Saccharomyces cerevisiae S288C: one gene and its partners. Changing the gene in region 4 together with the main gene of any one other region gives a genetic interaction. Each region holds a gene or a part of one and is shown on either strand. Other genes may lie near its edges.

Evidence for each region.
Region 1: mutations in GYP1 (region 4) and COG7 together harm fitness more than expected from each alone (negative genetic interaction), as found in Saccharomyces cerevisiae (6 studies listed by BioGRID, with this or other methods).
Region 2: mutations in GYP1 (region 4) and GOS1 together harm fitness more than expected from each alone (negative genetic interaction), as found in Saccharomyces cerevisiae (6 studies listed by BioGRID, with this or other methods).
Region 3: mutations in GYP1 (region 4) and ERG3 together harm fitness more than expected from each alone (negative genetic interaction), as found in Saccharomyces cerevisiae (5 studies listed by BioGRID).

What each region holds. Positions count from the first base shown.
Region 1 is NC_001139.9:484,448-492,415, forward strand, and holds COG7 (Golgi transport complex subunit COG7), read right to left. Parts: upstream 6,101-7,968; coding exon 5,261-6,100; downstream 1-5,260. Other genes in the region: YGL006W-A (uncharacterized protein), read left to right, coding at 976-1,086; calcium-transporting ATPase PMC1, read left to right, coding at 1,474-4,995; RPN14 (Rpn14p), read right to left, coding at 6,256-7,509. UniProt on the Saccharomyces cerevisiae protein: Acts as a component of the peripheral membrane COG complex that is involved in intra-Golgi protein trafficking.
Region 2 is NC_001140.6:38,315-41,256, forward strand, and holds GOS1 (Gos1p), read right to left. Parts: upstream 1,173-2,942; coding exon 501-1,172; downstream 1-500. Other genes in the region: GUT1 (glycerol kinase), read right to left, coding at 1-194; ECM29 (Ecm29p), read left to right, coding at 1,770-2,942. UniProt on the Saccharomyces cerevisiae protein: Involved in transport from the ER to the Golgi apparatus as well as in intra-Golgi transport. It belongs to a super-family of proteins called t-SNAREs or soluble NSF (N-ethylmaleimide-sensitive factor) attachment protein receptor.
Region 3 is NC_001144.5:252,352-260,231, forward strand, and holds ERG3 (C-5 sterol desaturase), read left to right. Parts: upstream 1-1,509; coding exon 1,510-2,607; downstream 2,608-7,880. Other genes in the region: SAGA complex subunit SPT8, read right to left, coding at 1-729; putative mannosidase MNL2, read left to right, coding at 2,955-5,504; glycine hydroxymethyltransferase SHM2, read right to left, coding at 5,641-7,050; REX2 (Rex2p), read right to left, coding at 7,387-7,880. UniProt on the Saccharomyces cerevisiae protein: C-5 sterol desaturase; part of the third module of ergosterol biosynthesis pathway that includes the late steps of the pathway. ERG3 catalyzes the introduction of a C-5 double bond in the B ring to produce 5-dehydroepisterol.
Region 4 is NC_001147.6:455,407-464,266, reverse strand, and holds GYP1 (GTPase-activating protein GYP1), read left to right. Parts: upstream 1-6,446; coding exon 6,447-8,360; downstream 8,361-8,860. Other genes in the region: YOR072W (uncharacterized protein), read right to left, coding at 2,451-2,765; NRT1 (nicotinamide riboside transporter), read left to right, coding at 2,991-4,787; VPS5 (sorting nexin 1), read right to left, coding at 8,472-8,860. UniProt on the Saccharomyces cerevisiae protein: GTPase-activating protein (GAP) that stimulates specifically the intrinsic GTPase activity of Ypt/Rab-type GTPases YPT1 and YPT7. Functions on the Golgi as a negative regulator of YPT1. Functions on the vacuole as a negative regulator of YPT7.

The DNA of each region.
Region 1 (7,968 bases), on a different chromosome or scaffold from region 4:
ATATTTCTGAAATTAAGGAAAAATAAGGCAAAAAGTGGGTGGATGCATCTGCGACTTCTCTAGTTTTGCGCCTACTTGGGCGCGCTAATAATAAGGGTTTAGCTTCTTAAAATAAAAATGTCAGTAACAGTTGTACGATAAGGTCTTTACTTTTTTTCTCTCGAGAAATGTCTTTTTCTAATTAATCTCTCTTTTCTGTTGTTGGTTACTGCCTTCCATAGTCCAAGACCATTCGTTATATGGTGCAGTGTAGGATCGAGGAGAATCGGCTCACGGTGCTTATATTATTGCCCGGCTTCAAGTATATTTACATCAGTCTCCATAGTTGTTTTATCTTATTCTTGGCATTGATCTGCTTATTAAACTATTTATCGGTTCTCTCTTCTGGTACAGAACTTAACATGATCTTGTTTTCACTATTGTGCCATAAGCTGAAAAGGCTAAAATAAAATTAAGATAGTAAAGTTCACTCTTAAACTAATCAAGCATGAATAATACAAAATAAATATTTGAGCCAAAGGGGATGATTTAATTATCAAGTTTTTCTTTTCATACTTCGGTTTACAAGCATTGTTTACGGCTCTTCTTTTCTTAGTTCTTGGCAGTTTGTGTTTTCTTGATGAGAATAAGAAAAGTATCGATCTTACGGCAAAACATAAATAAAACACAACTTTATCTTTTTTTGTCGCAGTAGTGTGGTCCTACAGCTCCAAGCCTGCCGCTTTTAAAATAGTGAGCTGTGCATACTGATATATGTTCTATTTTACCCATTTGAGGGGCCTAAATTGTCTATTAATTTTTTTACTTTAATACAGTTTGTATAGAAACATGTGGCACTAACAGCTTTATCCGCCCGCAGAAAAGATAAAAAAAAAGGGTTTTTACCCGGCAAAGAAGCTTCTCCATCATTTGTCAGGGGGAAAAGAAAATTAGGAGGCTCAGGCCCTAGAAGCGCCCTCCACGCTTTTTAAACAAATGCTAATCTTCATAATTCATTATCATCGCCACTTGGCATTGCATTTAATGGGCGCCTTCCAAAAACATTCAAATAGTATCAGCCCCCCCCCAAGGAAAGGCTTTATTTGAATTGCGTTAAATATTCGATTTCTTTCTAGCAATTATTACCAAAATAAATTGCAGGCTTAACGAAAAATTAAATAATCTCTTCAGATTTTTTCACTTCCCCAAACTACATTTTAGTCAGGTTGGCACGATTCAATTGAGAAGGCTTAGGTTAAGAATAAACATTTTTTCATAAATTTGAGGAAGAAGGGGCTTTTCTGGTAATTTTCATTCAATAGAAAGGCTTAAGAAAACGTCAAAAAACTCATGCGCCTCCAGTAAAAACTAAGTGTATTAAGAGAATTGTATCACATATATACGACATTGAATTAAAGAAATAAAACTTGAACAAATAAAGTTTAGAAAAGTGGTTCTAAAAAAAAAAAAACTGTGTGCGTAACAAAAAAAATAATGTCTAGACAAGACGAAAATTCTGCTTTACTAGCGAATAATGAAAATAACAAACCATCGTATACGGGAAATGAGAACGGAGTCTACGATAATTTCAAATTATCAAAAAGTCAACTTTCGGATCTTCATAACCCTAAATCAATAAGATCATTTGTCAGATTATTTGGATATGAGTCTAACAGCCTCTTCAAATACTTGAAAACAGATAAAAATGCAGGCATTTCTCTTCCAGAAATATCAAATTATCGAAAGACAAACCGGTATAAAAATTATGGCGATAATTCACTTCCTGAAAGAATACCAAAGTCTTTTTTACAATTAGTATGGGCTGCTTTTAATGACAAAACAATGCAATTACTGACAGTCGCCGCTGTTGTTTCCTTTGTTTTAGGTCTATACGAACTATGGATGCAACCTCCACAGTATGATCCTGAAGGAAATAAAATTAAGCAAGTTGACTGGATTGAAGGGGTTGCTATCATGATTGCGGTCTTTGTGGTAGTTCTAGTGAGTGCCGCTAACGATTACCAGAAGGAGTTGCAATTTGCAAAGCTAAATAAAAAGAAGGAAAACCGTAAAATTATAGTCATAAGAAATGATCAGGAAATATTAATTTCCATTCACCACGTTTTAGTCGGTGATGTCATTTCATTACAAACCGGTGATGTTGTCCCCGCTGATTGTGTTATGATATCAGGGAAGTGTGAGGCAGATGAATCATCCATCACTGGTGAATCTAACACAATACAGAAATTTCCGGTGGATAACTCATTAAGAGATTTCAAAAAATTTAATTCTATCGATAGTCATAACCATAGCAAACCATTAGATATAGGTGACGTTAACGAAGACGGTAACAAGATTGCTGATTGTATGTTGATTTCAGGTTCCAGAATTCTCTCTGGCTTGGGCAGGGGTGTCATCACGTCCGTGGGTATAAACTCAGTTTACGGTCAAACCATGACTTCATTAAATGCCGAACCTGAAAGTACTCCATTACAGTTACATTTGAGCCAATTGGCTGATAATATATCCGTTTACGGTTGCGTGTCTGCTATAATTCTTTTCTTGGTCCTTTTCACTAGGTACTTATTTTACATAATACCTGAGGATGGCAGGTTCCATGATCTAGATCCCGCTCAAAAGGGTTCTAAATTTATGAACATTTTTATCACATCTATCACGGTTATTGTGGTGGCTGTTCCGGAAGGTTTACCATTAGCTGTAACTTTGGCCTTAGCGTTTGCAACAACAAGAATGACAAAAGACGGTAATTTAGTACGGGTTTTAAGAAGCTGTGAAACGATGGGATCTGCTACTGCAGTGTGCTCTGATAAGACTGGCACTTTGACAGAAAATGTCATGACTGTCGTTCGTGGCTTCCCGGGCAATTCTAAATTTGATGATAGTAAATCGTTGCCCGTTAGCGAACAAAGGAAGCTGAATTCTAAGAAAGTTTTTGAAGAAAATTGTTCGTCATCCTTGAGAAATGATTTATTAGCCAATATTGTCCTGAATTCTACCGCCTTCGAAAACAGAGATTATAAGAAAAACGATAAAAATACAAATGGTAGTAAAAATATGTCAAAAAATTTGAGTTTTTTAGATAAGTGTAAATCTAGATTATCGTTTTTTAAAAAAGGCAACAGGGAAGATGACGAGGATCAATTATTCAAAAATGTCAACAAGGGTAGGCAAGAACCCTTTATTGGCTCTAAAACGGAAACAGCCTTACTCAGTTTGGCAAGATTATCATTAGGATTACAACCGGGAGAATTGCAATATTTGAGAGATCAACCGATGGAAAAGTTTAATATCGAAAAAGTTGTTCAAACAATTCCGTTTGAAAGTTCTCGTAAATGGGCCGGCTTAGTGGTAAAGTACAAAGAAGGCAAAAATAAAAAACCATTTTACAGGTTTTTCATTAAAGGTGCAGCAGAAATTGTTTCCAAGAATTGTTCGTACAAGAGGAATTCAGATGATACTTTGGAAGAAATCAATGAGGACAATAAAAAAGAAACTGATGATGAAATCAAAAATCTTGCGTCCGATGCTCTCAGAGCCATAAGTGTTGCCCACAAAGATTTCTGCGAATGTGATAGCTGGCCCCCTGAACAGCTGCGTGATAAAGACTCACCAAATATAGCTGCTCTTGACTTGCTATTTAACAGTCAAAAGGGCTTAATTCTAGATGGTTTACTTGGGATTCAAGACCCTTTACGTGCAGGCGTTAGGGAGTCAGTACAACAGTGCCAACGTGCTGGTGTAACTGTGCGTATGGTTACTGGTGACAATATATTAACAGCAAAAGCAATCGCGAGGAATTGTGCGATTCTTTCTACTGATATTAGTTCAGAGGCTTATTCTGCAATGGAAGGCACTGAATTCAGAAAGTTAACGAAAAACGAACGTATAAGAATCCTGCCAAATTTAAGGGTCTTAGCAAGGTCTTCGCCTGAGGATAAAAGGTTATTAGTAGAAACATTGAAGGGGATGGGAGATGTTGTTGCGGTCACTGGCGATGGTACGAACGATGCTCCAGCTTTAAAGCTAGCTGATGTTGGTTTCTCAATGGGTATTTCCGGTACGGAGGTTGCCAGAGAGGCTTCTGACATTATTTTGATGACTGATGATTTCTCAGCTATTGTCAACGCTATTAAGTGGGGAAGATGTGTTTCAGTCTCCATAAAAAAGTTCATACAGTTTCAATTAATTGTTAATATCACCGCAGTGATTTTAACGTTCGTTTCATCCGTTGCATCTAGTGATGAAACATCAGTACTGACGGCGGTCCAACTGTTATGGATCAATCTAATCATGGATACTCTAGCAGCTTTAGCTTTAGCCACTGATAAACCCGATCCAAATATCATGGACAGAAAACCTAGGGGCCGCTCAACTTCTTTGATTTCTGTGTCAACTTGGAAAATGATTCTATCACAAGCTACATTGCAGTTGATAGTTACTTTCATTTTGCATTTTTACGGGCCAGAGTTATTCTTCAAGAAACATGAAGATGAAATAACAAGTCACCAACAGCAGCAACTGAATGCCATGACATTCAACACTTTTGTTTGGTTGCAATTTTTTACCATGTTAGTATCGAGAAAATTAGATGAAGGTGATGGTATATCAAACTGGAGAGGCAGGATTTCTGCCGCCAATTTGAATTTCTTCCAAGACTTGGGTAGAAACTATTATTTTCTCACGATCATGGCGATCATTGGCAGCTGTCAAGTTTTAATCATGTTTTTTGGTGGCGCACCATTTTCTATTGCCAGACAAACCAAATCAATGTGGATAACCGCGGTACTGTGTGGTATGTTGTCTCTAATCATGGGGGTGCTAGTGAGAATCTGCCCCGATGAAGTAGCAGTGAAGGTATTTCCGGCTGCTTTCGTTCAAAGATTCAAGTACGTATTTGGACTCGAGTTCCTCAGAAAAAACCATACTGGAAAACACGACGATGAAGAAGCGCTGTTGGAGGAATCTGATAGTCCAGAGTCCACCGCCTTTTATTAATAGACGCGCTCTATATGTTTATACAAATGTAAGTGACCAAATGAAAAGATGTGTGTAATAGTTATATTTTCAAAATTGTACACTATATTATATAATCAATAAAAAGAAACTATCTGAAATAGCATGTCCTCCTAAACAAATTCCTTTTTACCCTTTTATGCATTACAAGTGGACCAAAAGGACTGGAAATGGTAAAAAGAAATAAGAATTTAAACATGCTATAAATTTCTTTTGTTAATTGCAAATTTTTTGTTTTTATCACCGATTATGATATCATACCATCGTCAATATTCTTGGTTGATAAATAACTTTGTGCTTTTGATTTTATGCTCTCCGAAAAGTTGCTATACTCAGCAAAGAACTTATCTAGGCCTTTAAACAGACATTTCAGTTCAGAAAGTGAATCAATTCTCCCAATCAAATCCTTGTTTGTTTCATCTTTAGCCTCGTTATCAATCGCAGAGCTTAAAGATTCATCGATTGTATCCTCTAATGCTTTCAATGATGTTCTAAAATCTGTTATCGAAAGATCTGTCCCCGTGCTGGTTGTATTATTTTCTCTAACTGTCGAAATATTCGTAACGGTCCTAACTTGTTCCAGGTAATATACCACTTTTTCAATTCTCTCCTTAATCAACATTAAACTTTGCAGTTGTTGCCTCACATTGGTATTGCGATTATTTTCGTTATCTAGATCGCTTAGTTTCTCAGTTACATTATGCATTCCTGTTTCTAATGCTCTTACAGCACTTGCCAACGTATCTAAGTAATATTCAAGCTTCGATGATTTTAAGGATTCAGTAGAATACAATGAGGAATCGTTCTGTTCTGCTTCTTTGTGATACCTAGAAGATGCCCAAGTTCTTGGTAACGTTTGAGATAATTTATCCAAATTCCATATGGTGCTTTCCAACTCTTTTGTAAGGTTCTTTGTGTAAAAATCCAACCTGGTTAATAGCAATGAGGATACTGATTGCGTTTGAATCTGATCTTCGTTTAAGGCATTTGATAAGAGTATATCAACGAATGCATGGGGAACGAACTCCTCATCAAAAAACATACTCAATATATCATCATCATCACCCGTAATTGTCAACTCTACCATATTCTGCTTAGTTTGGCCTTCTTGTTCTTAGTGAATTGTTCTATTTTAGACATATTTCATATGGAAATAAAATGCATTATCACCCTCAAAGCGCATTACGCCAAGCTCATGCAGCGAAGTGAACTTTTTTGAAAAAGTTACTAGTACGAAAGAGGTTAAGGATTACTTAAGTTATACAAAGCGCAGAAGTTGTTTTTTCCAACTTCAAGCACCTCCCCATTTGATTCATCATCAGAAACGTAACAGAATTGGCTGACCTCATCGTCATTGGAAACTAAAAAGGTGGGCGTCTCAAATTCAATAGCGGGCCGTTCACTTTCTGGGTCTGAAATAATGTCAAGCTTAATACTGGTGTCGAATCCAGAAGATACAAATAAGGCTCCGGCTGCAAAGTAGACATTGTTTATTGGGGTGCCTTCATTAATTAAAAACTCACCAACTGGGCATTCCGGTGATCTTAGATCCCATTGAGCTAGCATTCCATTTTCATATCCGGCATAAATATAGTTTGCATTATTGCCATCGACTGTCAATGAATTACATGAACATGTGAACTTGCTTGGGAGTTGAATAGTTTGCTCTTTGGAAAATACATTATGTACAGTAATAACACCAGAAACGTGACCAGCAATCACATATTTTCCATATGTTCCAAACTCTAGATTATTTTTCTTGGAAGTAGAAATTTCATGTAATTGTCTGTCTGTCCCTACGAACAGCGCTATGCTGTTAACACCATCATGCGGGTTTTCTTTTCTGTTAAACGTGTGAATTGTCGTTCCTGTGCCGCACTCCCAAAGGCGAATTGTACCATCCAAAGAGGCAGAGAGCACATTCCTTCCTCGGTCTATTATGGCAATATCTGTGACTGTCGCCCTGTGTCCAATTAACGTGCGAGGATTTGAGCCGTCTTTTACTGACCAGATCTTTAATTGCATATCCTGTGAACTAGATATCAAAGCTTCACCGCTTGGAAAAAACTTTAGTTTTGTTATTTCACTAACGTGAGCTTGGTCAATTTCTCTTTGAAGGTTGAAATTTGAATCCAATACTTTAATATCGCCTTCTGTAGTGCCTAATATGAACCGTCTCATCTGAAGTTTAGCTGTGTCTACGGCAGTATAATCCGCCCTCTTGAGCATCTTTGAACCATCTCTTATGATAGTATTGAATAAAAAATCATGTCCATCCAACCGCGCCTTGTATAAGTGGGAGCCAACCTTTTCAAATGTATTTCCTTTGCCTGCATCTACACCCCTGCTATTTCCTAACACTACTATCTTATGCTCCTTGATTTCATTTAGGTTTTTGTCAACATTGATGTAAAATTCATCGTCATTTTCATCATTTTCTTCCAGAACAGCTTTAAAATCATACTGGATATGAGCAACTGTGATGGTCTTAGTCATTGTCGTTTCTATTGTACTTCGCTATTTCTTTTTACTTTCTGCTCTTAGGGTTGAAAACTTAATTTTTCGAAGCTTCTTTTGCCGATTTCTAGATTATTCGCCCATCCTGACGCCTGTAATATGTCATGTTAAAAACATCACAAAAGTTAATAAGGTTAACTGAGCCTTATTCCCAAATCCTGACAAGGACAAATGCCATTTTTAATGTGCAAGAAAAAGGTTCCATCCAGTTTTCTAATAACTGGATGACGAAATTTTAACGGAACTTATTAACCGTCTCTTTTTATATTGTTACGTATTTTGTATGCTTGGTAGGTACGTTACCTTAGTACATAAGTGTTATCGTTAAAATCTTCTCACTGAAACAATTGAACTAATCAACCGACCTTGTTAGATGAGTGAGGTGTAAGTAGAACTATATGAACTACTGGGCATTCGCAACAACACCATCAGATATAC
Region 2 (2,942 bases), on a different chromosome or scaffold from region 4:
TTGAACAGAATGCATCTGGATGAGGTCGTTCCTACATCAATACTGGCGATAAGCGGGACGTAGTCACTTCGTAAATCTTCCATTATTTTGGACATACGGCTCTGTTCTTGTTTTAAACTAGTGTAAAGGCGCTGGCTTGATCGGAATATGTAACGTTTGGAGAATACTACAAGTCGGAAGAGAGAGGGAAACATATAACTATTTGTATAGTTCCGGCCACAACTCAAACCACATGGTATATTTTATATGGTTCGAGAACAGGCATCCCCCCACATTTTATTACACCTTATCCGTTCTAAAAGTCTTGGCTGTCTTTTTTTCCTTTCCTTTTCCTTTTTTTTTTTTCAATTTTTTTGTCAATGCAGTCAGCCCCTCACTATGCTACTCCACACCCTTTAATTGATGGTTTTACTCCAATTAGAAGAGAAGAATTACGAAATGGCCTGTATGGGTAGATTCTTGTTATGTTTTTACATACGTTGTTTAATAAAAGTCGTTATTTACCATGTGAAAAACAAAAACAGTATACAAAGGGTGGTTATCGTGGCCAATACAAACGCGTTTTTCTTCCTTCTCGTGTTAATCTTCATAATAAGCTGATTGACACCTGGTATTCTTTGTAAAGTTTGCAACACCTTGTTGTTTGCCGTGTTCAGCACGTTGCTCTGCGAGTGGAACTGCGACCGAGTCTCCCAGGCTTGGGAGATGAGACGGTCGACTACGTTGTTGGACTGATCGATTCGCCTTGTTTCGTTCTGAATGTACTCGTCAGCATCCCCTATAGGAGCTGGCGCGTCCGTTGTGGAATTAGCAATATCGTTCTTCACGCTGAATAACAAGTTTAGTCTGTTGCGCTCTTGCTGGATGGAGGACCTGATATTGCGGAAGCTCTTCCAGTGGTCTTGTAAGATCTCCTTGTGGCGGTGCAGTTGGGAAAGCTTTGAGGCGGAGATTGCCGGGTTAGAATCGCAGATTTGTGTTAATGAATCGATTACATCCTGTCTCTGGCCTAAGATTCCCTCCAACTGCTTGTCTATCTTCTTTTCTTGGCCAGTTTGTTCTGAACTAGTTGTCTGCGCGAATGTGGAGTACTTGGAAAGAAGTGACTCCGTTTGTGTTTCTAGAGAAATGGCCTTGCCCCTTATGGTGACGAAAGACGGTTGTGAGCTCATGTGGTGTGGTTGCTTGTCTGGAATTGGGCTTTTCCCTGTGTCTAGTTAGTTTATTTTTTCCTTGTCTTTTTATCTCTTTTTTTTTGTTTTTCGTTCTCTTTATTTTCAACAACGCCTAGAAAATTTGGTTACCAACCACACTATTGAACAAAGATAACTAACTGATTGAACAAGAGTAGGCGTCTTACACTGGGTTTGCAAGTGTCATTGACTTTTGTTGCATTGCTGTGAAATGCACATTCGGAGCAGTTGAAGGTCTCTTGCTGAATGCTCACATATTTTCAAAATATTGTTTTGGCTGCGGAGTTTGTGCCTGATCAGTAACTACCAATCTCGTGAGATTTTTCATAAGCATCTTTGAAAGCTTTTATACTTATTTGATCTTTGTATATATCAGGTTTTACCAGTTTAGCCGCCAGAGTTTTGGTATTTATGTGTTACCCGGTATATCCATATGCCTTTTCTTGGTGGCAAAAAAAAGGTACTTCCTGATATAAAGAAGCTGGTAAGCTCTCGATAACTGATCTCTTTGTCTTTGTGCAGGATTGGATAATACAATAATTATAGAAAAGTTTCTATTTCACCACGAACAACATTATGTCCATTTCTTCTGACGAAGCGAAAGAAAAACAGCTCGTGGAGAAGGCAGAATTGCGCCTGGCTATCGCAGATTCCCCTCAAAAGTTCGAAACTAATCTGCAGACTTTTTTGCCTCCATTATTACTAAAACTCGCCTCTCCACATGCCTCCGTTAGAACAGCAGTATTTTCAGCCTTAAAAAACCTCATTTCTAGGATAAATACGCTGCCCCAGGTTCAGCTTCCTGTGAGGGCGCTTATTGTCCAAGCAAAGGAACCCAATTTAGCCGCTCAACAAGACTCGACCAATGTCCGCCTTTACAGTCTGCTACTGGCGTCTAAAGGCATAGATAGGCTTTCCTTGCAAGATAGACAGCAGTTGCTACCGTTAGTCGTTTCGAACATCTCGTGTCTAACAGGCACAGTAGCCGCCAGAATGTTCCACATCCTTTTGAAGCTTATTTTGGAATGGGTTGCACCCCAGGAGTCTTCACATGAGCAGGAAGAATTTGTTCAGTTCCTTCAACTGGACAACGACGGTTTTTCGTTTTTGATGCGCCAATTTACCAGGTTTTTTCTGCTGGTACCTTCAAAGCAAGTCCAGGTTTCTCAACAGCCCCTGTCGAGAGGTTACACATGTCCGGGCCTATCTCTAACTGATGTGGCATTCTTTACTTATGATGCGGGCGTTACTTTCAACAAAGAACAGCTGAATAAGTTCAAAAAGGCTATTTTTCAATTTGTTTGCCGTGGCATGGCGGCTACCCAAACTATTGAGCAGTCACCTAGGATGATTGAACTGATGGAATTTTTGTGCGTTGTCTCTACGGATTCTACAAATTTATCTGATGATGCGGCTCAGTTCATGAAACGGTTTCCCATGCCTTATGAAAACGAAGAGTTCATCACCTTTCTTCAGACGCTGTACATCGGCAACACAGCAAATGGAAGACCGCCGGTCAAGGCTATCTTGCAAGAAAAAATCCTGTCCATATTAAACAGAAGTCACTTCGCCACCACCAAAGCAGAATGTATTTCGTTGATTTGCTCTATTGGATTGCATTCATCTGAGTATAAACTTAGATCTTTGACTCTTTCTTTTATTCGACACGTAGCAAAATTAAATTACAAAAATTTAAATCCTGCTTCTTCATCACCTTCATCAACAGACTTTTCCACTTGTATTGTTTCC
Region 3 (7,880 bases), on a different chromosome or scaffold from region 4:
TTTCTGCGGGATCTCATTTTCCCAGTACGACTGCAAGATACCCGCGTTCTGAATAGACTCAGCCAACGAATGCTTCTGCAGGATAGTTAGAGAAAGTTTCCCCTCAAGCGTGTTCAGCAAGTCGTACTTCCTTATGTATCCATCGCTACCGCCCAAAAACAGGTACTTGAGACCCCTGGACACGGCCAACGCATTGACGTGCGTCTGGATGGGTATGGCTGCCGTGGGGTAGATATTGTACGAATCCGCAATCTGTGCGGCATTCAACATGTGCTTATAGTACTCATAAACCTCTCCATTAGCAGAGGCTTCGTGTGTAGAGGAAGATGCTTCCCTGGACCCCACTCCTCCATCAACATCGCTCAATTTCACATCCTCGGATCCAATCTTAGTAACAGCATCGCCACTATCGCCTGCACCGCCAGCACCAGCAGCAGCAGCCTTTTGCTCATCATGCTGGTGCTCATTCGTCGGTGTAGCAGTCTTATCCATTCTTGCGGCGTCGTCCTCACCATCGTCGTCCTCCTGTTCATCGTCGTCCTCTCGTTCGTCCTCGTCATCATCATCGTCCTCATCATCATCATCGTCATCCTCTTCATCTTCACCACCGTCATCATTCCCCTCGAGGTCCTGCTTTGAGTCGTTTTCCAGCCCACTCAGCATCTCTTCGTCATCCTCCTCGTCATCCACCACCTGGTTGTTAATTAGAATATCGTCAACCTCGTCCATTACGTAAAAGAAGAAAAAAAAAAAAACTGAGCCTTTAGTACACTACAGTTACTGCTACAGCCTTTTACAGCCCAGCATCTGGCACCACTACGCTATAATATATGATGCGTCTATTATGCTAGAATCCTTCCTGAAAGGGCATTCTGGAAGCCCTACGTACAGAGTGACAATATATTAGGGCATCCATAAAAATAGATTAGGGCAGCTCTGCCATTTTTTTCATAGCCGAAAGAAGAAAAACTGAAAAAAAAAATGATACGAAAAAACCGCGAAACGACGCCTTTTGTTGCGATTGTCGGGCATCGCAAGTTACGACGCGTTGTCCCTTGCATCGCTGCCGTGTGGCACGACCCACTGCGGCCTAAACGACCGAGATCGGTGCCCGGGGCAGACCACCCGAAAACTCCCGGGCATTATTTCGGTCGTTTAGTTGCGCCCCAGGGCAACCGGGGTGTATACGAGGCCGATGGCTGCGATAAACGAAAAATTCAGGCTCGTATAAGTGGCACAATAGAAGGTGAAGAAGAACAGCAGGTGCATTGAAACAAGAGGTTCAGCAGCGATCGGGTATTGTTGTTGCTGCTATTATGTAACGGTCGAAAGAAACATCGCGGTATATATTAGAGGCGGATTTCTATCTTTCTTATCAATTCGTTTTTTCATTCACTTGTTCATTCATTCTTTACATTTGTCTTGTTCTTTGAAGTGGTTGCAGAGGAGGTCAGTTTGTTGCATTTGTAAAAAAAGATAATAAGAAAAATATTCGTCTAGATTTGAGATATGGATTTGGTCTTAGAAGTCGCTGACCATTATGTCTTAGACGACTTGTACGCTAAAGTTCTGCCCGCTTCGTTGGCAGCTAATATTCCTGTCAAGTGGCAGAAATTGCTAGGGTTGAACAGTGGGTTCAGCAATTCTACGATTTTGCAGGAGACTTTGAACTCCAAGAATGCCGTCAAAGAATGTAGAAGGTTCTACGGGCAGGTGCCATTCCTGTTTGATATGTCGACGACGTCTTTTGCATCGCTATTGCCTCGTTCCAGCATCTTGAGAGAATTCCTCTCACTATGGGTTATTGTTACGATCTTTGGTTTACTACTTTACTTATTCACGGCTAGTCTCAGCTACGTGTTTGTGTTTGACAAGTCGATTTTCAACCATCCTCGTTACTTGAAAAACCAAATGGCAATGGAAATCAAGTTGGCAGTCAGTGCTATCCCATGGATGTCGATGTTGACCGTTCCATGGTTTGTTATGGAATTGAACGGCCATTCTAAACTATACATGAAGATTGATTATGAAAACCACGGTGTAAGGAAGCTCATTATCGAGTACTTCACTTTCATCTTTTTCACTGATTGCGGTGTGTATTTAGCGCACAGATGGTTGCATTGGCCAAGGGTCTACCGTGCTCTGCACAAGCCTCATCACAAGTGGCTGGTCTGCACACCTTTCGCATCTCATTCTTTCCATCCTGTAGACGGGTTTTTGCAATCCATCTCGTACCACATCTACCCATTGATTCTGCCATTACACAAGGTTTCTTATTTGATTCTGTTCACTTTTGTTAACTTTTGGACTGTTATGATTCATGACGGTCAATACCTATCAAACAATCCTGCCGTCAACGGTACTGCCTGCCACACGGTTCACCATCTATATTTCAACTACAACTACGGTCAATTCACCACTCTGTGGGACAGACTAGGGGGTTCTTACCGTAGACCAGATGACTCATTGTTTGATCCTAAGTTAAGAGATGCTAAGGAGACCTGGGACGCTCAAGTTAAGGAAGTTGAACATTTCATCAAGGAGGTCGAAGGTGATGATAATGATAGAATCTATGAAAACGACCCAAATACCAAGAAGAACAACTGAATACGGTTGCCTTGTTTGTCTCATCTTTTTTCTTTCTTTCACGTTCAAGAACTTTCACACAACGAATAACGTTTATATATTTATATACACATACATGTTTTAAGATACGCATATCATTATGATGTACACCTCACGTTAGTGCAATATGCGCTATTCGTATATTAAATTTTTGCGTTCATTTAATGGCTCTTTTTCCTATTCTAGTGAAAAAAAAAACAGAAAATCGAAGAGCTGGAAAATTTAAGAACAGGCAAATAGGAAGCTGGAAGCTTTAAAATGCCCAAGATTTCGGTGAAGCGCAAGTGTTAACTAGAAAAAGGCCGCCACTACTCTATAAGCAAAACCTTATGTCCATAGCGCGATTAGTATACTCTCTTTTCAGAAGAGTACGATCGGTTCTCTTACTTTTCATTACCATATCGCTATTGTTTTACTATACGTTCCAGAATGAAATCGATATCTTGAATTCGTACGCTTTAAACGACTCACTACCGTCCATAAACAACTATGAGCACAATACAGAAGGTTCTTCGAAACTGGATCCTCCAGACCTATCGTCAACCGGTTCTGACCGAATAGCCACCGACAAGGAAAATGGCAACGTTGCAGTGGATTTGTCAGATCCAGCTACATTGAGAGAAAAAAACAAGTACTTTCCCTTGCTGTTAAAGGGATCGTCTCACCAGATTGGTTCGAATTTACCAATTTCGTCTCTTTTGACATATAAGGAAAAGTATCCCGTCTTGTTCGAATACTCATCACCTTCCTTAACTTCTATAAGCCAGAATGACGTTCATAAGATACAGCCGGCAATGCAATTGCCACCAGATGTTGATATGATAAAACAGATAAAGGACATTTTCATGAAATCATGGAACCAAGAGCAGTTGCTGCTGAAAAGTAACCTCAGAAGGGAATCTACTTGGCCCATAGATCTAATTGATTCTCTAGATACATTGTATCTATGTGGCGAGACGAAACTTTTTCAAGATTCTGTTAATATAATAGAAGATTTTGACTTTCGAGTACCTCCGTTAGCAATGGAAGTTATTGATATTCCTGACATCACTACCCGTGTCCTAGAAGGGTTACTGTCTGCATACGAATTATCTATGGATAAACGATTACTTAACAAAGCAAAACATGTTGCAGATTTCATATTAAGATCATTTGATACCCCTAATAGAATTCCTATTTTGAAATATTTTTGGAAATCTGATCTGAGAAATCGATTTCCAGACCGTACTGTTCCATCAGGTCAATTGACTACTATGGCACTCGCGTTTATCAGATTGTCACAGTTAACCCGTTTGAATAAGTATTTTGATGCTGTTGAAAGAGTTTTCACCACTATACGTCAATCATATAACGAATTTGATATGGAGTTTATGCTGCCTGACGTCGTTGATGCCTCTGGTTGCCAGTTATTAACTCAAGAGGAAATTGAGAATGGTGCACACCTAAAGGGATCCAGCATCATGAAAAGTATCAATGAAAATTTCAAGTTCGTACACTGTCAGCAGTTAGGGAAATTCTTAAATCCTCCAATAGATGATAATAGCCTCCAAGAACAATCTCAATACCAGGCTTATAGAATTAATGAAAAAACAGTACCCATTCTAGAAAATCTATTCAAAATCAATGACCTCTTCCAATCTTCTTATGATATCCTGGACGGCTCAAGTAAAAATGCTAATGCTGCAACGATGGACCCCAGTATTGGTTCAGAGGTAGAAGCAGTCGACGAAATAATTGAGAAAAGAAACTTTAAAGACGGTACTAAAAAAGATTCGACAAAAAACACCGTAGGTGATAAATCATTAATAGACTCGCAAACGTTTTTAACAAATTCCATCAGTAACATTTTTAAATTCATGACTTTTCGACCCATGTTGCCCAAGCAAACGGAAAACAAAAAGTTTAATTTTCTGAATTCCATTCTAACAAAATCTCAATTCATGCCCACGACTAATGAGCTAGATGTCACGATAAGAAAATCTTACGATGTCTCGTTATACTCATGCAGACTTGGCGGCATTCTAGGTTTAAGTTCACGTGTTCCCCACCGAGGCGGTGTCAACACGAAATATATTTTACCATCGTCACTATTGGAAATGAGCGAAATAATAACAGAAAGTTGTTTTATGCTAATGGAGGAGTTCGACGGGCTGCTCCCTCAAAAATTCGAGTTGGACCCTTGCACTGATGAGACTAATGGGAATTGCGAGTTTAACGGCGAAACTAAATCACGAATGATTGCCAACGGCGAATATGAAACTTTTGAAAATGACCTAGATGTCGGGATCAAAGTTTCGAATTATGGGAAAGGTGGGAATGACCAGAAAGCTAAGAGAAATGTACTAAGCAAAGATGGGATAACAGAGACTCAAAACATAAAAGGTGATACTGTTGGAAGCTCGAAATCGATTGCTGAAATAGACGGCGACGAAGTAACGCAAATACGTAGAGTTTTTACGCTTGGTAAGGATATCAAACCGCATATTACAACGGACGATACCATGGGTTCTCAGTGGAAAAACCATCCAGACTGGCCATTTTGGGTCAACAAGGTAGAATCCAGAAGATTGTTGGATTCGAATATCATTGAATCTATATTTTATATGTACAGAATCAGTGGAGAACAAAAATGGAGAAGCATGGGTAAGCAGTCTTTTGGAATCTTAATGCAAGAATTAATGGAACTAAACAGTGGTGCCAAAGGATTGTGGCAAATAAAGGAATTTTATGAAAACGGTGAAAAAGTGAACAATGATTTACCTAGCTATTGGTTCTCCAGAACATTAAAATACTATTTGCTACTATTCAGCGATGGTGACAAGGTTTCCCTGGACAAACACATCTTAACTCAAGGAGGGCACATAATCAAAAAGAAATGAAGTTAACGTTAGAAAAATCGTACGCACATACATACATACATATAGGTACATATATACATAATGAGAAGAGGAGAAAATGAATACTTATACAGTAATGTTTATTTTTTTGGGATTAAGTGTCGTTGTGGTGATTTCTTTACACAGCCAATGGGTATTCGCCAGCCCAGTCGTAAATTTCCTTTTTCCAGGTGTTCAAAACATCAGAGCCTTCGTCGACCTTGGCTTTGAAGTCCTTTAATCTACAAGCATCCTTTGGCAAGCTTTGTTGAACTTGTTGAGCGAATTCTACAGCCTTGTTAATGTATTGAACAATTCTGTGGAAATCTTCTTCACCCATTCCTCTAGTGGTCATGGCTGGAGCCCCAATACGGACACCACCTGGAACCAAAGCAGATTTGTCACCTGGAATAGAGTTTTTGTTCAAAGCAATGTTAATCTTTTCACAAATGTATTCAACACGAGCACCATCAACACCCTTTTCTCTCAAGGATACTAGAACCATGTGAGAATCGGTACCGTTGGAAACTAATCTGTAGCCCAAGTTCTTAAATTCACTTTCCAAAGCCTTAGCATTCTTCAAGACTTGAGTTTGGTATTCCTTGAATTCTGGAGTGGCAGCTTGCTTCAAAGCAGTGGCCAAAGCAGCAATGGTATGGTTGTGTGGACCACCTTGGTGACCTGGGAAAACAGAGAAGTTAATTGGGTTTTCCAAGTCGTATAGAACTTCCTTACCGGTCTTAGGGTTGATAGATCTCACACCTCTTCTGAAGAAAATCATAGCACCACGTGGACCTCTCAAAGACTTGTGAGTGGTGGTGGTAACGATATCAGCGTATTCGAAAGGAGATGGGATGACACCTGCGGCGATCAAACCAGAAATGTGGGCCATGTCTACCATCAAGTAAGCACCACATTTGTCGGCGATTTCTCTCATTCTCTTGTAGTCAATTAAACGACAGTATGCTGAAGTACCAGCAACAAGAACCTTTGGTCTATATAGGATGGCGTTCTTTTCTAAAGTATCGTAGTCGATAATACCGGTTTCTGGGTTAACTCTGTATGGGAAAGATTCGAAGTATGTGGAAACAGCAGAAATTTTTCTGTTTTCAGTAGCGTAACCGTGAGACAAATGACCACCATCTGGTAGGTATAGACCCATCAATCTTTCATGAGGCTTCATAATAGCTTGATAAACCTGCAAGTTAGCAGGAGAACCAGATAAAGTTTGGACGTTAACACCCCATTTGTCTGGAGTAACATGGAAAGCTTTCAAAGCTCTTTGTTGACATAGAATTTCCATTCTGTCAATGTGTTCATTACCACCGTAGTAACGAGCACCTGGATAACCTTCAGAGTATTTGTTGGACAATGGAGTTCCAAGGGCATCGAAAACGGAGGTTGAGGTGAAATTTTCAGAAGCAATCAAATCGATGGAGTGCTTTTGTCTTTCAATTTCATCCTTGATAATGGAGTCCACTTCAGGGTCGGTGTCCACCAAATGAGAGGTGATCAACTTATGATGAGCGTCGGATAGAGTGTAAGGCATGTTAAGGAGGATTCGGTTTAAGCTGTTATGCTTTGCTATGGGGTAGTATCTTTCGTAAAGGTTACACTAGAAGAAGGAAAGATTACTGAACGCAAACTAAGGGAAGCAAGTTCTGCATTATATATAAAACAAGATGAAGAAGACTCATGGTTCGGTCTAAGATGATTATGAATTTAAAAATTATACAGAGTAAAAAGCGAACATGAGAAACCCAAGAGATAGAGTCAAACCTTTATGGTCAAAGCAACCTGAAAGGGTCATTTCTCACCAGGAGTCATGTTTCGTGTGTGAAATATTTGAAAAATTTCACTTCTTTTTTCTTTTTTTTTTTCTACATTAAAAATCGGTGCGTTGTCTTTTCAAAGATGAGGTAGATGAAGATGGTGACTCCGGCTGTTCAGATCCGATTGACTCGACCGACTCTGTTTCCTGTGGTGGCTTCAAGTAGTTGTCCATGTACCATTGCAATTGAGCTATGCTCTCTTTGATATCACTATAAGCAGTGTGGGCAGCTTCTTTTTTTGGATTACGTGCTTGTAAAGCGGGATTGTGTCTGCGGGCAACTTCCATGATGCTACTGACGTCAACTATTCTGTAAAAGAGATGATCAATGACCTTGGGAAACTCGCGGACCATGAACAAGCGGTCCATATGTACACTATTGCCTGCCAAGACGCCAACGTTCTTGTCTGGGATGTAGCGCTGGATGTACTCGAGCAGCTCATCTTCTACCTGGGCCAAAGTCTTCTCACTTGCCAAAACTTTGGCGGTGAGACCGCTATTACCGTGGTGCTCAATACACCACTCGTTCATTTTGTTCATCACCTCGG
Region 4 (8,860 bases):
TATTATTTAGATGCATTTTTCCCAGCTTTAACCTTTTTATTTAAAGGAAATTATAAAAAAAATTTTAAAAAAATGAGTTTTGCGTATCCAATAAATAATAGACAAGATGCTGTCACAACAGTATTAAAATTTCTGAAAGATTCTGCTGTCTCTGGACTGTGTAATACAACAATTCTTCGGAAAACTTGATTCGGAATAAACAATGGTCTTTCATTTATGGAAAATTTTCTTCTTTGTCTCGGTCACTAAAAAAAGCCTTAGCAAAGCTATATAGAAAGAAAATAGTGATATGGTGTATTTGCCGTAAAACTATGGTTTATCCAAGGTCGCCTTCAGTAAACTTTCGGAAATATATTCATCGGAGATATATTATATAATGAGTACATAGCAATCTAATCATGCTGGGTCTTCTTGCACCCCAATGAAACCATAATCATGTAAATGCTTGAAAATTCCGGGCATACTATCCTCTTCCTCAATAACCCAATCGAAGTAGAGTGCTAGTTGTGCACTATGTCCTTGCTGCTCATTAAATAAATTTACTGACAGTTTGGTGGAATTTCTTTGTTCGATCAGATAGTACTGTTAGGTATTTGTTGACATTTACTTCCCTATCACATCAGACCACTGTTTCTCCTTCCTTTTTGCCATCTTCTTACCTATTATATGATAATATAGTTCAAAAGGAAATACCAGTCAATGAATGATAATTGGCTCTTACTCCAACCGTTCTTAATCTGGACCAGTAATTGTTCTTATGGTGAAAAAGTATGGTGACGTCTTTACTTTTAAAAATATTTTTAACAGTTGAAGGAGCTCCCCGTGTACATCTTGCCAGATCTTCAAGAGAAATGTCACCAAATAAATTATGAAATTAAAGTACAGCGGTAGTGATAAAAACGATCATCAAGTAGTGCCATCCGATATTTCGTGTCAATTTCCAAGCTCATGATTTATGACATACAGGATTTTCAAGAATATTAAATCTTGTTCCTGAGGAATTTTTGATAAATCCAATAAATAGTAAATAATAAGAAAAAAGACAGAACAACAACGTTTTGGTGGGAGAAAGGCCACTTCTCTGACCAGACTAGAGTACTAATATTTACGACAAATATACTGAGACCGTGACCAATGGTAGAAGGTGATTGGCTTGAAAGAAATGCCAACATTAAAGCACATATCACTGCTCTTGATATCAGTAGAGTTGCAAAAAAATTATACTACTAAAATCAGCTCAACGGCAAGAAGTTACTAAGCACAGCAGAAATTCTGGAGCTAAAGAGAATAATATACATACAAGACTGACTGAAAACTCTGTTTTCCACATGCAGTGGACTCAAAATATTCAGTTGAAGAAGCAAGCACAAAATTGGATCAACCCGTCGCGTCGCGGCCGCTGCTGCAGGCGACAAATCCACTGGCAAATTGTACGCGGCCTCGTTACTCCTACTTGAAAACAGAAGTAACAACAACAAATTCAAGTTTCTACGAAATGGGTCTCATGACGACAAGGTGCGCCCCCCTATCTACCTTGTTGTAAGTCTGGGACCTGGGGCTAATTTCTCATCCCCGGAAACAAAAGTATACAACTACGTGGCTAAAAATTTTTTAGTATGCAGCACATAGGATGCCAAGGAGCAATTTTTAACCCTGGCAATCTGAGCTACTGAACGGCCGCCTCAGGACTCATAGTTCTCTATATATAATTTCTCCATGTTTCTCCTTGTGCCTGGTGGAAAATATCAAGTAGTTGCCGCGACATAAAATGAATGCCTCGTAGACACCGCGAAGCCGGAATGAAGGCGGACACTACGGCACCGCCTCAAACCCAACGGCCGAGAGCGAGTTCATCTCCCTCATAGATGCGAACGGCATTGGCACTGACGCCATCATTGTAGAACATATAGACAAGATTAAAATGCGTAATCACATCATGAATGGGAAGTTAGGTGCGGTCCACTACCCTGGGGGCCTCACTGGGGACGTCATCACCCCCAAAGCACCTCAATAAGTCCATAAATAAATATATAAAAATTACTGAATAATAATAAAAAAAATAAATTAGTTCAGTCTAAAGAAATGGAAGCAAAAACCTCAAAAAAAAAATTTTTTTACGAAGACTATGCTTCCAAGACTGACGTCTTAGAGGCATAGTCGAGAAGAAAAGGAATTACTGGCACAGAACGACAAGAAATATCGTGTCGGCGCCAAGGCATCTATGTAACTACGTCTTGTGATCACCGGTATAGCTGGGACTATTCCGTTTCATCATATGATCTGGCCGTCTGCGCTTGTACATTCTGGGCGCCAGGCGTAAATGACCAGAGTAATGTCTTGCTGTAGTCGTCCGTCGCCACAGAAGCGCGTGGACGCATGATCGCGCGCAGCGACCGGTCGGTTCGCAAGACGGTTGGCAATAGGAGTTTCCTGCTGACCGCCTTATTAATTTATATGAAAGAGGAGAATTTGTCATCGGGCTTTCGAATGAAATAAAACAGCTCCTTTAAGTAATGGAACTGGAAGAAGGAAGAGAATAAACGACAGAATTTTCGTGCTCGGAGCGAACACCGCGCCGGGTTACGAACAACAGTGGCCACTACTATAATAGTTATGGAGTAGACGTCAGAATATATAGCGCAGGCGTCAGAGTATAGCGCGGGCGTCAGGATATAGTGTGCCAATGTAGCGTGGTTGCATGCAGCTAGCTTTTTAGTTGAGTCAGACCTGCTCCAAAAAAAGAGGAACACAACTTTCGTCAGCATGTGTTGCTACCGCTATTTGTTCTTCGGGGAAAAAAATTTGCATTCGCTATTGTAGTTTTAATTTTCCTTCTCTATTCTCATAAATAGAGTTAAAATCTTATAAACTCCAGAATTATCAAGAACAATTACCTATATTATTTCCTATTGCAGAATTTATATTATTCTTTATTGTACTGATATCCCCATTATAACTATCAAAAAAAGGACTTCAGCACCTGTATCATCATGAGCTTCAGTAGTATAGTCTCTAAGTTTTTGAGATATTTAGAAATTCCTGCCAAAAATAGGACTGCCGTGAATTTTCTGAGGAACCCTGATTTGCAACCTATCAAGTCTGCAAATCAAACATGGGGGTTCTGGTCTAATTTGGCGTACTGGGGCGCTGTGTCCTTTACAGCAGGTACATGGATGAGTGGTTCTGCTGCACTAAGTGTCGGCCTAAGTTACCCAGAGACCATTGTTTCGTTTCTTCTCGGTAATGTCTTGACCATTATTTTCACTATGGCCAACTCTTACCCCGGTTATGATTGGAAAATCGGTTTCACCTTGGCCCAAAGATTCGTTTTTGGCATTTACGGTTCAGCCTTCGGTATCATCATTAGAATTTTGATGAGTATTGTCAATTATGGTTCCAACGCTTGGTTGGGTGGTCTATCTATCAACATGATATTAGATTCCTGGTCCCACCACTATCTGCACCTGCCCAATACTTTGTCCCCAAGTGTTGCCATGACCACCAAGCAGTTGGTCGGCTTCATTATTTTCCACGTCCTCACCGCGCTCTGCTATTTCATGAAACCCTACCATATGAACTACCTTTTAATTTGGTCATGTGTAGCTACTTGCTTTGCCATGCTGGGTATAGTGATTTACTTGACTAAGAATGCCCATGGTGTCGGTGAATTGTTTACCTCCACAAAATCTACCGTTACTGGTTCTAAAAGAGCATGGGCTTGGGTTTACATGATTTCATACTGGTTCGGTTCCATTTCTCCAGGTTCCACCAACCAAAGTGACTATTCAAGATTCGGTTCCTCCAATTTGGCTATCTGGACCGGTAGCGTCTGTGCATTACTAATCCCAGCAACCTTGGTCCCAATCTTCGGTGTCATTAGTGCCTCCACCTGCGACAAATTATACGGTAAACAATTTTGGATGCCCATGGATATATTCGATTATTGGTTGACAAACAACTATTCTGCAGGCGCTCGCGCAGGTGCCTTCTTCTGTGGTCTTTGCTTTACCATGTCTCAAATGTCCTCCACCATCTCCAACTGTGGGTTTGCCACTGGTATGGATATGGCCGGTTTGTTGCCCAAATACGTCGATATCAAGAGAGGTGCTCTTTTTTGCGCATGTATCTCCTGGGCTTGTTTGCCATGGAACTTCTACAACTCTTCTTCTACTTTCTTAACTGTCATGAGTTCTTTCGGTGTTGTCATGACTCCTATTATTGCTGTCATGATCTGTGATAACTTTCTGATCAGGAAGAGGCAATATTCCATTACTAATGCCTTTATTCTAAAGGGTGAATACTATTTTACCAAGGGTGTCAACTGGAGAGCTATCGTTGCCTGGGTGTGTGGTATGGCTCCCGGTCTACCTGGTATCGCTTGGGAAGTCAACAATAACTATTTCCACGACTCAGGTATTGTTAAATTCTTTTATGGTGATTCTTTCTTCTCCTTTTTGATTTCTTTTTTCGTTTACTGGGGGCTATGTGTCTTCTTCCCATTCAAAATTACTGTTAGACATGATGACAAAGATTACTATGGTGCATTTACCGACGAAGAAGCGAGAAAGAAGGGCATGATTCCATACAGTGAAATTTCTGAGGAAGAAATCCGTGCTTACACGTTAGGCGAATGCTACACAACTGGACACGAATACAAACCTGAGAGTTCTGATAACGAATCACCTGAATTGATCAAAACTAGCTCAGAAAACACTAACGTATTTGAAATCGTTCACCAAAAGGATGATGAAAAGCACTCCTTTAGTACCACTCAACAAGTTGTCTGATGACAAAGAATCCGATAAAATGAAGATCTCAAATATACAAAGAGGAAACTTCAACGCTTCATTTGAAAATCTGTACAGATCTTACAATTTGGGAATACTACCAGATCGATCCTCAGCTGCAAATACTTTACTGTCAAGTATGTCTATGGTGACAAATATCGGCATTATTGTGTATGGCTCAATAATTTTATAAAAAAAGGAACTATTGGTTCTTAGTATTTTCTTGCTAGAAGACATATTCTTACCAATCCTTTCATAAGCTAATTATGCCATCCATATAGCAAGAGAATCCGGTGGGGGCGCCATGCCTATCCGGCGGCAACATTATTACTCTGGTATACGGGCGTAACTCCATAATATGCCACCACTTACCTTTAACATGTTCATGGTAGGTACCCCACCCAGCCATAAGGAAATTTTCAAAGGCGTTGGATCAAAAAATAGGCCTTTATTTCATCGCGTGATTGAGGAGCATAACATGTTTAGTGAAGGTTTCTTTTGGAAAACTTCAGTCGCTCATTATTAGAACCAGGGAGGTCCAGGCTTTGCTGGTGGGAGAGAAAGCTTATGAAGCTGGGGTTGCAGATTTGTCGATTGGTCGCCAGTACACAGTTTTAAAAAGTCAGAGAATGTAGAGAAGTATGGATCTTTGAAACCCTTTTATTTTATTTTACTTTTTTTAGAATGACCTGTTCCCGACACTATGTAAGATCTAGCTTTTAACATATTATGGAAACCTGAAATGTAAAATCTGAATTTTTGTATATGTGTTTATATTTGGGTAGTTCTTTTGAGGAAAGCATGCATAGACTTGCTGTACGAACTTTATGTGACTTGTAGTGACGCTGTTTCATGAGACTTTAGCCCTTTGAACATATTATCATATCTCAGCTTGAAATACTATAGATTTACTTTTGCAGCCATTTCTTGGTGCTCCAAGGTTGTGCGTATCTATTACTTAATTTCTGTCCTTGCCAAGTTTTGCAGCAGGGCGGTCACAAGACTCCTCTGCCGTCATTCCTTAGTCCTTCGGGAACACACTTATTTATGTATTTGTATTCTACAATTCTACGGTGCACAAGGGTTGGGCACTGTTGAGCTCAGCACGCAACTATTGCTGGCATGAAGATAAGATTGATTTTTGGAAGAATAAGCTTGTGGAAGTTACCTGTCTCTTATTTTTTTTTCCTTTTTGCACTTTTTTTTGGTGATCACTTAGGTAACAATCTATAACACAGCAGTATGAACCCACTAGTTAACCATTCTGCGCCGATGGTATACCTTTTTCATTGCTTAATTGTCTGTGAGAGGCTTGATAAGCTAAGGCTCATGGCGATAAATCCACGATGAACTCGTTTAATGCAAAATATAGGTCGCGGCTTGCCGGGTACCAAGTCGCAACAAAGCTCCCCGAATTGTTTCGCCCATTCATCTGACAGGACAGAATGCCAAACATATGATGCATGATGCAGCAAAGAGCACAGTAATCACTATTTTCTGCATATCATATAGCCAGATTGCTATAGTGTTTGGCTTTTGTCCTGCTGTTAATTGTTTTGTTTTCTTTCTATTTTTATAACTATTATTGGAGAGTAGATCAAGGATACAAATAACAACAACAACCACCAATACCGACCACTTAATAAAAGTAACCATATAATGGGTGTGAGATCCGCTGCAAAGGAAATGCACGAACGGGACCATAATTCGGACAGTTCCAGTTTAGTAACTTCCCTGATGAAATCTTGGAGGATATCGTCGGCTTCTTCCTCCAAGAAGCCATCGTTATACAAAATGAATACTACTGAATCTACTAGTTTACCCTCGGGTTATGCTTCCTCGGCAGATAGAGATCGGAGAACCAGTGACGGTAATTTTGAAGCTATGGCAAAGCAACAAGCAAGCACTAGACGTACCTCGAATTCCTATTCACCTCTACGATATGTAAACCCCACTCTAAGCACTGCAAGTAACGAAAGTCCCCGGCCTGCTTTACTCTTACGTCAGCATCACCAGCGTCATCACCACCATCAACAACCCCGCCATAGCAGTAGTGGTAGTGTAGGCAACAATTGCAGTAACAGTACAGAGCCTAACAAAAAGGGTGATCGATATTTCAAAGACTTAGATGAGGATTGGAGTGCTGTTATTGACGATTATAATATGCCTATTCCTATACTTACTAACGGTGGATTTGGTACACCTGTAGCTCCAACGAGAACTTTGTCGCGAAAATCCACTTCTTCTTCCATCAATTCGATTTCGAATATGGGGACCTCCGCAGTACGGAATTCTTCCTCCTCTTTTACATACCCTCAATTACCACAGCTGCAAAAAGAGAAAACAAATGATTCCAAGAAAACTCAGTTGGAAATCGAAAACGAACGGGATGTTCAAGAATTAAACTCCATCATCCAGCGCATTTCTAAATTTGACAATATTTTGAAAGATAAGACAATCATAAATCAACAGGATCTGCGCCAGATCAGTTGGAATGGTATCCCAAAAATACACAGGCCTGTTGTTTGGAAATTATTAATAGGTTATTTGCCTGTGAACACCAAGAGACAGGAGGGTTTCTTACAAAGGAAGAGGAAAGAATATAGGGATAGTCTGAAACATACCTTTTCTGACCAGCACTCAAGAGATATCCCAACTTGGCATCAGATAGAGATAGATATACCGAGAACAAATCCCCACATTCCCCTCTACCAGTTCAAATCCGTACAGAACAGTTTACAACGAATACTATATCTTTGGGCAATCAGGCATCCTGCTAGCGGATATGTGCAAGGTATTAATGATTTAGTTACACCATTTTTCGAGACTTTTCTTACCGAATATCTGCCGCCTTCACAAATAGATGATGTAGAGATAAAGGACCCCTCTACTTATATGGTAGATGAACAGATTACAGATTTAGAAGCGGACACGTTTTGGTGTCTTACCAAATTGCTCGAACAAATTACCGATAACTATATTCACGGACAACCAGGCATATTAAGACAAGTGAAGAATTTGAGTCAGCTAGTGAAACGAATTGATGCTGATCTATATAACCATTTTCAAAATGAACATGTGGAGTTTATACAGTTTGCATTCAGATGGATGAATTGCCTTTTGATGAGAGAATTTCAAATGGGTACAGTAATAAGGATGTGGGACACATATTTATCTGAAACTTCACAAGAGGTCACTTCTTCTTATTCTATGTCGTCCAATGACATTAAACCTCCTGTTACTCCAACAGAACCTCGAGTGGCAAGTTTTGTTACACCAACAAAAGATTTCCAATCTCCCACCACAGCTCTTTCTAATATGACACCAAACAATGCTGTTGAAGACAGTGGAAAAATGAGACAGTCTTCGTTGAATGAGTTTCATGTGTTTGTTTGTGCTGCATTCCTCATCAAGTGGAGTGACCAGCTAATGGAAATGGATTTCCAAGAAACTATAACTTTCTTACAGAACCCTCCTACAAAGGACTGGACTGAAACGGATATTGAAATGCTTCTGAGCGAAGCCTTTATTTGGCAATCTCTTTACAAAGATGCTACGTCGCACTGGCTGTAAACGGACCTATTCATTTTACTTACTGTATAGTATGTAATAATATAAAACAAAAATCTCCTAATTCATAAATCCTGAGGAACGTGACACATAAAGTTATTGTATACAGATCATCTAAAGATTGGTTTGGTAGAATGTCTCCCAAAGCTCGATGCATTCTTTTTGAGATTCAATGGCCGCTTCTAGTGATATTTCCATGCCGTTTCGGAATTCCCGAATTTTATCAGTAGAGAAACCTTGGAATTCATCTTTTATTTTATCTCCTACCGCTTGCCATTGTTTTTTTGTAAGGTTATACCTTCTCTCCAATGTTTGAAATTCCTTTCTCATTTCTCTGAATTTTTCTGAATGAATATTTTGACCCAATTTGCCCAATTGTGAGTGTTTCTTATTCATGTCATTTTCTATTACTACCAAGAAATACCCCAATTTGGATCTCTGATTGAAAATTGCTTTTACGCTTGCCAATGACCTAATATAGTCGTCCAGCATCACACCCATCG